Linked DNA regions of Canis lupus familiaris. The protein of the gene in region 2 interacts with the protein of the main gene of each other region in a pairwise test. Links are inferred from orthologs where the notes say so. Each region holds a gene or a part of one and is shown on either strand. Other genes may lie near its edges. The genes, in order: GPATCH2L, TRIM41 and FRA10AC1.

The links.
Region 1: the proteins of TRIM41 (region 2) and GPATCH2L interact in binary tests that used the Homo sapiens proteins (3 or more experiments, as listed by UniProt). The two-hybrid records come from large-scale screens. The link is inferred for Canis lupus familiaris from reciprocal best matches to the Homo sapiens genes TRIM41 and GPATCH2L.
Region 3: the proteins of TRIM41 (region 2) and FRA10AC1 interact in binary tests that used the Homo sapiens proteins (3 or more experiments, as listed by UniProt). The two-hybrid records come from large-scale screens. The link is inferred for Canis lupus familiaris from reciprocal best matches to the Homo sapiens genes TRIM41 and FRA10AC1.

Annotation. Positions count from the first base shown.
Region 1 is NC_049229.1:49,418,824-49,422,475, reverse strand, and holds part of GPATCH2L (G patch domain-containing protein 2-like), read right to left. Parts: coding exon 3,342-3,652; intron 1,676-3,341; exon of another isoform or gene 1,509-1,675; intron 1-1,508.
Region 2 is NC_049232.1:606,079-609,343, reverse strand, and holds the end of TRIM41 (E3 ubiquitin-protein ligase TRIM41), read right to left. Parts: intron 3,107-3,265; coding exon of another isoform or gene 3,074-3,106; coding exon 2,843-3,073; intron 2,310-2,842; coding exon 2,287-2,309; intron 2,090-2,286; coding exon 1,962-2,089; exon of another isoform or gene 1,961-1,961; intron 1,524-1,960; coding exon 922-1,523; 3' UTR 775-921; coding exon of another isoform or gene 637-774; 3' UTR 631-636; downstream 1-630.
Region 3 is NC_049249.1:8,100,783-8,104,434, forward strand, and holds part of FRA10AC1 (protein FRA10AC1), read right to left. Parts: intron 3,068-3,652; coding exon 2,972-3,067; intron 2,841-2,971; coding exon 2,795-2,840; intron 1-2,794. UniProt on the Homo sapiens protein: May be involved in pre-mRNA splicing.

The DNA.
Region 1 (3,652 bases), on a different chromosome or scaffold from region 2:
GAGTAAAAGTGAAAAGTGATGGACAGAGATCTCAGCTTTCTCCCATTTATTCTTGCTTCTGAGCTATTGTTTGTGTCAGAAGGGATATTGATTTTCTATAAAAATAAGAAAACAAGAGGCACCAAGGGGCCGCAGAAGGTCAGCCTGGGCTGGAGAAGGAGGGAGGAGGTTTAGCACTCTATCTCTGTCACTTGCCTTCTAAGAGAAGGGAATATTTTCTTTCCTGTGAGATTGGCCTCTAATACATCACTCAGGAAGGCTCCTGACTGAGACTTCAGGCCAACATCAAACCAGTTCCCTTATAAAAGAACAGAAGCTAAACTATATTCAAGGGGAACAAACAAATGATGTGTTAGTGAAGAATAGAGCAAAATCATGCTATGAATCACCTAATAGCTGCTATACAGATGATATGAATAAAGACAGTAGAAACTAATTTTACAAAATAATTGCTCCATTTTAGAATGGAATACACATACACAGGAAAATATTAAAATAATAATTGATCTTTTGTAGGCATAAGAAACTTTTACATCATAACCACTTTCAGTTCCTCAGAACTCCTGAAGGACTGGTTGGCACAGAACTGAAGGAAGAATAGAAAAAGTAAAGGAATTACTGGTCAAGCTTAAAACTATTCCATGGTTAATTAGTAAAGTTTAAGGAAATTAGAAATAAAGCTCTTTGGTTGAGACACACATTTTCAAACCTAAAACATCTGATACACATTTTTTAAAAGAACTCTATCCACTGACAAGGCTAAGTTAAGCTTAATGATCAGCCTCATCCTAATAATTTTACCAGTCGGATCATACAGGCTGACAATCTTCAACACCACTAATAAAAGGTAAAGTTCTAGTAGCACCTGGGTGGCTTAGTTGACTAAGCATTCAACTCTTGATTTTGGCTCTGGTTGTGATCTCAGGGTTGTGAGATCAGGCCCTGAGTTGGGCTCTGTACTCAGCAGGGAGTCTGCCTGAGATTCCCTCCCTCTCACTCTGACCCTCTGCACCCACCCCCATTCTTGTGAACATGTGCATGCACTCTCTCTTCTAAAACAAATAAATCTTAAAAAAAAAAAAAAAAGTAAAGTTCTACACTTGAGCTGTAGGTGAACAAACAGGCACATCTAAGCAGATTTATGAAAGAATAACCAAGATTCTTTAAAATATCTGTTAATGCAGAAAAAAAGATAGGAAGATTTCTCACAAACCAACTCCCCAAAAATCATATAATATCCAAATTGTAAATTATTATCTACTTAAACACACACTAATGCTAGTCCTATCCACAAGATGGGCTTAATAATCAAGGCAAGATTTTAGTTCCATCTTACTGTTGGGAAGCTGAACATAATTTGCAGTCAACCTCTCTTTCTCCAAAGAGTAGATTTAGGAGGAAAAGGTAAGAAGCATTTCTGTTTTAACTACAGATGAATCAACAGAAGTCAAAGTATATTTAAAACTCCTAAAAAATTAGATTCTAAAGAAGAATTATTCTCATTTTAGGTCTGCTACTACTCCACCAACTACTCCCTCAGAGCTTCAAGGACTTGGGCCTCCATTATTAAAAGAACTCTAAAGTCATGGACCAGGCATACAGCATAAATGGGGTATTTGTGAGAGAGAATACACAAGGTATTCTCAATTTGAAGAGAATAAATATTTCATAAGGATTGCTGCCTACTTCAACTTATTCAGGCTCTCAGATAACTAGAGTGTTTATCACAACCTATGAGCAATAGATGTGGGTGGGGGTGGGGGTGGGGGAGGAACTGGAAAGACTAAAGAGCCTCACTGCTAGATTACAGACTCTATGCCTGGAACCATTCCTGAACTGTTATCTTAAGAGCAGACATAGTTAACAGTCCCTCACCTACAATAACGTCATAACAAGAAATTCTGGGGAAGAAATAAACACAAGCTATCACAGCAAAAAACAATTTTTAAAAATCACAATTCTCAACAGTAAATTATTATGTTTGATACTGAAACATACTTAAATGACCCAATTGAGGGTTTTGATATTGTGAAAGACTATAAGTTGACTAAACATTTATTTGATTAAAAACAACATGATAAGAAAACTTTTATAACCCAAAATTATACATATAAATTGAGAAAATAGGACTTAGGATATACATTAGAAGAAAATGAGGGAAAGCAAATTATAAGCCTACCTGGTTGTGCAGACTGGCAAATATAAAGCTACTCAGAAAAACTGTTAAAGCTTGATTAAAAGTCGCCCATGAAAGGTACAGGCATAAAGATTAAGGAGCTTTTCCTATTACTGACATAGCTTTACCTCATAATTCCTAAGATTTATGTCTTTGTTTTTCAGACGAACTTCAGAAGCAAAGTCCTAAGAAAGGCCACACATTCTACGGTTGTAAAAGTTGCAATGAGACAGAAAAAGAGCCATGGAAAAGGCAAATTCAAAGGGCAGCAAAGGGCAAATTCATGGTTGTTACATATGAACCTTGGAATCAGGTTCAATTCCCAGTTTTGCTACCGGGTGACCGTGGGCAAATTATCTCAATACTATGAACCTTCATCTCCTCTTCTAAAATATGAACAGCAGGGCCTACCATACAGTGGAGTTCTGACCATTCAACTGGGACTACCAGCCCAAGAGGCAGCACCTACAAAGGCACTTGGTCTGATACTATGAAGGGGATGGGAACAGTGTAAGGATGCCATATATCCTGTAAAGCACAGACACAAATGTTTCTGGCTCAATGGCATTTGGTGTAAGACTAATGGGATTCAGTACCGTTATTCTCAAAGCCCACCATGTGTTCAGGCGGCTTGAATGTCAGCCATAAAAAATAAACTCAGTGCAGTCAAACTGGAGGGAGCAGACAACAGAATGATAGCCCCGTAGCTAAAGCCATGACTCTTAAGGGGAAAGGCAGCTTACCAGGAACATACACAAACTCCATGTGCCTGGCACCAACATTTTCTCACATACACAAACACACACACCAGCCTCTACTGAGACCCTCGTTCTCACAACATCTACATATGATCTACATGGCATAAACTGCAGTAAATTGTTTTTAAAATAAAATTCATGGTTATGCATGTGAGGTATGCATTTTAAACAATTTTTAGAAACAAATGTGTTTCATTATACATAGCTTTCTTGACATAGGGAAATAGAATCATGAATATACTGTAAAAAGCTAGAGACAGACCCTAGCAGATTGCTTAAAGGAGGGGCTACAAAGTCAGCATTACAGTGGCTAGCTCTGAAAGAAGGTTGAACTCCTCAAGACTATGGATTTGTACTCAGGGTAAAAATAACCAGGACAATCTCTGACTTAGTAAGGGAGATCTCACCATTCTGACATGTTCTCATCAGAGCCCTGTTTTTGTTCATCTGCTTCACACTCCATCCTTTCTTTCCTTCCTGTTTTGCTTAGGAAAGTCCTATTTTCTGCTGATTCACACAACCCATGACCTGATGAGGTCCAGGGAGTATTCTCCTTCCAGCGGGACAGACGCTGCTTCTTAGCTGACTTGAACCTGCAGCCTCTCTCATAGCTCCAATCTGACACCTTGAGCTTCTGCTGAAGGCTGGCGGCCACCTCTGATGTCACTCGCTTCACCTTCCTCCGGCGCCGGAGTGGTCGACATGGTGCATTTTCGGT
Region 2 (3,265 bases):
ACCTCTGCCATCAAAGTAGAGGACAAAAGCTGACAAGTGACAGAAGGCAAAGGGTTACTAGAAAAATATATTATACCCAAGGCTCTTCTGGGGATCCAAACCCCTGTCCCCAGGCTCCTGGTCAGGGCTCACCAAATGGAGAGAACTAAAGACATGAGGCTGAAAACTGACACAAGGAACTCCACTGAACAAAGGGGAAAGGAGCCTGGCAGTGAAAAAGACCTAAAGGAGTTGGGTGGGGTGAGCTTTATTCCTAGTTTGAGTGCTGGAAAAAAGGAAGGGGGAGAAAATAATTTATTGGGTGATACAATGGTATCTAGTTTCGATCATGTCAACCAATCTATATCTCAAGCTAAAATGTGGCCAGTCTATGGAGGTAGAATTTGGGGATGGAAGGAGTTTTGAATCCCTCCTACTTCCCCTAGAGTAGACATTTATTACCCAGCTCTACCCTTTTGCCCAACCTGCCTCCCCCAAAAAAGCTTCCAAATCCCTCAGCTAAAATTTGCATCAGAAAACGGAATTGGAATAGGGGCAGACCTGAATCTTGCCCAAGTACCCCAGCCTGGGCACTAAGGTTGAAGAGCAGGGAAAGGGAAGTTAAGTAATGGAGTTAAATCTCCCTTCATCCCCTACTCAAAACTCAGACCCCTGGGTGGACAGAGGGAAGGAAAACCAAGCAGCTGTTCTCATCAGGGACCCATGCAGACCTGTTGGACAGACATTGCAGGTGAGAGAAGGCCGAGCTGCAGGCCAGGAGGGTTCTTTAGGCTCCTAGAGGGAGAAGCGGGCCTGGGTCAAAGGAGCAGGAAGCAACAAACATTGGAAGGAGCCTTTGAGCCCCCAAACTTACGGGCCACCCTCCACCACCACCCGCCCCCCAAGTGCTAACCAGAGGGGCCCCTGCGGGTGGCAGGCTAATCAAGGGCAGAGCTTGATACGGGTGCCCTTGGAGAGCACCCGAAAGAAAGGGAAGACACGCTCGCCCAGGAAAGCAGCTGAGAAGGTATGCACATGGGCTAAAGTCTCCGCATTGTAGAAGCCCAGGCGCCCAGCCTCATAGTCCAGGTATACACCAAAGCGCCGTGGTTTCTCACTTGGGCTCAGCAGTGTCTGCTCCGTTGAGCTCTGTGCCTGGTAGCGTTTGCCGTTGGTGCCCACACACCACACTTCCCTCTGGAGCAGGGGCTGTTGGGGTAGGTGGAGGCGGCGGCGGCGATGGTGATGGCGCGAGGAGCTGGCATCCCCACCGCCCACAGAGGACCCCCCAGAGCCCACTTTCTCCTTATGATGGGTCGATTCACGGGCAGCGCCCACCGCCCAACCCCGCCGCCCGCCCACCTCTACCTCCCAGTAGTGCCGGCCAGAACGGAAGCCTTGGGCCCCTAATACACAGCAGTCGGCTGAGAAGCGTTTGGAATGGTCAGCAACCTCCTGCCGCCGCTCTGCCAGACGAACCCCCCGGCGGTCAGGGGACAGCATCAGGGCTGGGTGAGCCGTGTCAGGGTCCAGCGTCAGGTCCACTTGAGAAGGGGGGAGGACAAATATGCCAAGGCTGGAACAACTTGTTCCCCAATCAATATAAACTCTTTTTAAGATTCGGCCTTTCCTGTTGTCCTCCCCTCTGCCTTCCTGCCTCCTTCCTGCCTTCCCCCTCACTTTTTCTCTCCCCCTTCTAGCTGACCTCACCCCACCCCATCCTAAGAGGCCAGAATTGAGTTCCTGTGGACAGGTCCTCCCTCTGGCCCTGGCTCTTCTTGCTACCCCTCCTCCTCTTCCCCCACCACTACCTACCCGGACTAGGACAAAAGCTACTCGTGGCTTAAAGCCCCATATGGCCTGCCTGTACCCTGCTCCACCTCAGCCCCAAGCTTCCCTCAGGATTCAACTTCCCCCTCAGAACCTAATCTCAGGTGTGTGAAGTGAAAGGCAAAGGAAGGTCGTACAGGTGACCTCCCTACCTCGGGCAGCCTGACAGAACATCCGGCTCATTTTCCTCACGATGGCATCTGTCAAGAAGTCATGGCTATGGGGTTGACACGGGTCAGGGGACCAGACCTCTGGGGGCTGCAGCTGTACCTCTTCACACCTGGAGGAAGGGGGACCGGGCAGGGGGTGGGACCATGATATTCCCAGAGGGAAGAGCAGAAGCTGAGGGGAAGGAGAGGAGGGTCCAGGAGGCAGAAACTCGGGTCCTGGGGAAGGAAAGGAGCGGGATATCCAACAGAAGTAGGGATGGGGAACCAGATGCCACTGGGTCACAGAGGATAAAGGGTGGCAACACACCTATTGAAAGTCTCCTTGATGTCCTGGGAATAACAAAAAGAGGGAGAGGGAAAAAAGAGACAAAGAGAGAGTCAGCTGCACAGAGACAGCTCCTTTCTCCCAATCTGATTCCAGCCAGAGAAACGACTGAACTTGAACAGGGAGTAAGAAAAAGCACCCTAAGGCCCTCAGTAAGCATATATCTCAATCATCCCTATGCCTCAACACAGCTGATTCATTCATTCAGCAACTCTTGCTCCAAAACCAATAGCATAATTTTCAACCCCAGTAAAACAATGTTCACAAAGTGACTTGGTCATCTTTTTCAGGATATCTGTCAAAAATTCTTCCTTAACTCTCCTTTAAAACCCTCATCTACAATTGAAACTTCTTTCTTTTCTCCTGCCACACACTTGGCATTAACTCTGTCCCCAGCCTCAAAAAAACCTTTTGGTCATTGTGGGTTCCTCCCAATGAGAAGAAAGGCAGCTCTGGACAGATGTTTAGTAAGCACTGCCTGACAGAGTAACTACAGGGTTTGGTGGGAGGGGGAGAGAGGGAAGGGAGCACTGCTCACCTGGAGCAGCCGTAGACCCCCCTGCTGGCTCCGCTCCTGGGCCTCCGCCAGCAGGCGGCTCAGCTGGGCAGCCTGCTCCGCCAGGCGGCTGGCCGCTGCTCCTGCACGCCCTAGCTGGGCTTCATGCATCTCCCGGAGGCGCCGCTCCAACCCTGCCTGTTCTTCAGCCAGAAACCGTGTCAGCCGTCCAAACTCCGAGGCCACAGCTGCCAACTCTGACTTCATCTGGCTCTGGGATGATGCAAAGGGGATGGTGGATACCACCTCAACACACAGAAACATAAACTTCCAATTTTGCAACTGCTGCCCCTCAATCCAAGGTATCGGAGCCCTACATCCCAAATGGAAAGTAGCCCCTAAACCCTTCCCCACCTCCCAGCCTTACCAGGCACCACTCCCACACCCCCAGCACACTAGTCTCAA
Region 3 (3,652 bases), on a different chromosome or scaffold from region 2:
GCAGGTGGGCATTCTCTCTCTTTGAAATAAATAAATAAATCTTTTAAAAAATATATCTAAAAGGTTAAATATTAAACTGTTAGAAGGAGTCAACAATGTAGAGCAGAAGGGCTTTCATTTTCTACTGAATATCATTTATATTGCTTTGAATATTTTTTCAAATTAAAGGTAAGGAGTACAAATTGCATTTTATTACTACAAGATATAATTTAATTATTCCAGTAATGAAAAAGCCTCTAAAATAGAAGATACAAATTTTATATATTAAATCCTAATATTAGGCTTTCAAAAATATGTAAATATAACAAATCAGATGTTCTTTTTTATACTTTCAATATTTAAGGAATTCAGTCATGTTTAATTGTTTTTTAAAGATTTATTTATTTATTCATGAGAGACACAGACTGAGAGAGAGGCAGAGACACAGACAGAGGGAGAAGCAGGCTCCTTGCAGGGAGTCCAATCCGGGACTTAATCCTAGATTCCGGGATCACAACCTGAGCCGAAGGCAGGCGCCCAACTACTGAGCCACCCAGGCATCCCAGTCATGTTTATTTTTAATGCAATATAACAAGATATACGAGCATTTTACTTTTTTGTTTAAAAAGCTCAATGGTATTCTCTCCAGAGCAGAGCATGCAAATTACAGAACTGATCTCATCCATAATGCTGTCTGATTACACCCTATTATGTCAAAGGTAAATAATGACTTAATTCATCACAATATGTTCTAATAGAATATTGAATCAGAATATAACACTTCCAAAACTGGCAACAAAGCAGCTAACCTTTCAGAAAAGAAAAAAGAGAAAGCCAGATATCCAGAGATTTGCTCTTGGCCTGTCTCTAACTGGTCATACAATCACGGCAAGTCACCTCAATCTTTTAAAACTAGGGTTAGCAAATTCTGTTAATGGTACATACGCAGGCAATATGGTACCTGTCACAACAGCTTGGCTCTGTCATTTTAGCATGAAAGTGGGAACAGATAACACCTCGATGAATAAGCACAGGTATGTGGCAATAAGACTTTATTTACAAAAATAGGTGCTGAATGGGTCCTTGGTTCCAGGAAGATGGTGTAGACAAAAATGTACTTCTCCCTATTCTTCCCACCAAGAACAACTAAAAACCTTGGAAATTATATCTTAAACAAATATAAGACTCTGAAAGGTGAGGAGTCGAAGGCATAACAGCTAGAGAGCTCAAGACCTATGGTATGACATGGTAGTAAGTTACTCAGGTTTTCTTTTTGACTCATAAACTCAAACAGAAATAAAGAAGCTAGCAACCTAAAAATCCCAACAAGCATAGACAAGAAGAGTCCCAACAAAGCTCTCTCTAATTGAATAATCAAGAGAGAGGGTAGCCTAACATGAGGAAACTTAGACAATATCTACTCTACTCTAGCCAGAAATCCTAGAAATACCTGGCCCAACCTCTCCCCATGCCAGAAAAGGGGACCTACACTTTCACACTCACCAGGCTATAACTAGATCCCCCAACACCCTCAAATGAGTGGGGTCATAGAAGGCATAATAGATGCTGAAATACTAAAGGAACAAGTGGCAGATGAGATCCATGGGAAAGCCAAGCCATTGGGTTAGAAGAGGAATAAATCGGTGGTAAGATAATTTCTATAAGTTAAAGAAAAAGATTAGGAATGATAACAAAGGAAACAGATGGCAATAGGTAGATGATGTATCTAATTGCCATCATCTCCTTCTCTTAATCCTGACTGTAATAATAAATACCAAGAAACACTATAGGTCTTGGTTGGCTTCTCTTTCATTCTCCAACATTCCCAACTGTAATATGGATGGCCAGTGGTAGCAGTCAGAATAATGAGCCACAGTCTTACCAAAAAGCTGAAGTGAGACATGGCTATAATAGCGGAAGCAAGATACAGCTTAAAGATAGTCCTAAGTCATGCCTGAGAGATGAAGCCACAAGAGGTCTGAGGACAGTCCACACACCCATCTATCTACTTTTAGGTACAAGTTTTACGAAGACCTTAAAAAGCCAAGAACCAGATAGTAAAAGAGTAAGAGTTAAAATGAGACTAAAGATAAAAGCAGTACTAAAATGAGAAATGTTGAGAGCGTGGCAAATACAGGTTGGAAAAATAACTGCAGGTTCATGGACTTTGTAAACCTATTTATAGATCATTAGTAATATGTTTTATTATTATTATTTTAAAGATTTATTTATTCATGAAAGACAGAGAGAGAGAGAGAGGCAGAGACACAGGCAGGCACACAGGCTCCCTGTAGGGAGCCCAATGCAGGACTCGATCCCAGGACCTGGAGATCTTGCCCTGAGCCGCAGGCAGAGGCTAAACCACTGAGCCACCCAGGCGTCCCATGTTTTATTATTTTTGTCTTTAAATCTTTCTTATGTATTAATAAAACAGAATTGTACTCAAAAGTATAAATGACAAGACTGCACATCAATAAACACCTTTAAAAACATAATTTAGAAAAAAAAAACATAATTTAGGTCTACCTGACTTCACAAGATTTTATGAAATAAAAAAGTAGATTTTAAAATATTCTAGGGATCCCTGGGTGACACAGCGGTTTAGCGCCTGCCTTTGGCCCAGGGCGCGATCCTGGAGACCTGGGATCAAATCCCACGTCGGGCTCCCGGTGCATGGAGCCTGCTTCTCCCTCTGCCTGTGTCTCTGCCTCTCTCTCTCTCTCTCTGTGTGACTATCATAAAAAAATTTAAAAAAATAAATAAAAATTTAAAATATTCTATTGGTTATAAAAATCTAGAAATACAAAAAGGATACAGCATCCATAGCTATGAGATGAAACCTTCTATTTCTTGCTTCTTCCCTGTTAAGACAAATTTTAAACAAATTCAAATGTCCATATTCTAATTAATATAATTAAATCTCCAAGTCCTTGAGTTTATAAAAACATCTTAAGCCAAAAAAAAAAAAAGTAATTTACACTGAAGTACATACCTATCCAGCAATTCTGCTGCAACTTGTTTATGGGCCACCTTTCCATGTTTTTCTTTCTGAAATGGCTTTTTGAGCAGTAAATCATCTTCAATTGTCCTGTTTGTGATGAAGAAAAGTTAATTAAATTATAAAAGAAAAATTATCAAAAATTATTAAAAGAAAAATTATTATAAATTATTTTCTCAAAAGGCATTTGCTGTTTCTTTATACTTTAAAAATTGGAACATTTTTAAAAATTCAAGTCTTAAAAAAGACTCACTGATCTTTAATGAGACATGTTAGTCTTGCTCCAATAACTTAATTTCTTAACTTTATTTAATACATAAAAAATAGAGAGGGTAGCCCAGGGGGCTCAGTGGTTTAGTGCCGCCTTCGGCCCACGGTGTGATCCTGGAGACCCGGGATCAAGTCCCACGCTCGGCTCCCCGCATGGAGCCTGCTTCTCCCTCTGCCTGTGCCTCTGCCTCTCTCTCTCTCTCTCTCTCTCTCTCTCTCTGTCTCATGAATGAATGAAATGAATGAATGAATGAATGAATGAATAAATAAATAAATAAATAAATAAATAAATAAATAAATAAATAAATAAATAAATAAATAAATATAAATTGAGAAGATGAAACTAATGAATGGGTTCTGGGGTCAGGCCACCCAGATTTCAGGATCCAAACTTGGGCTCTGTCA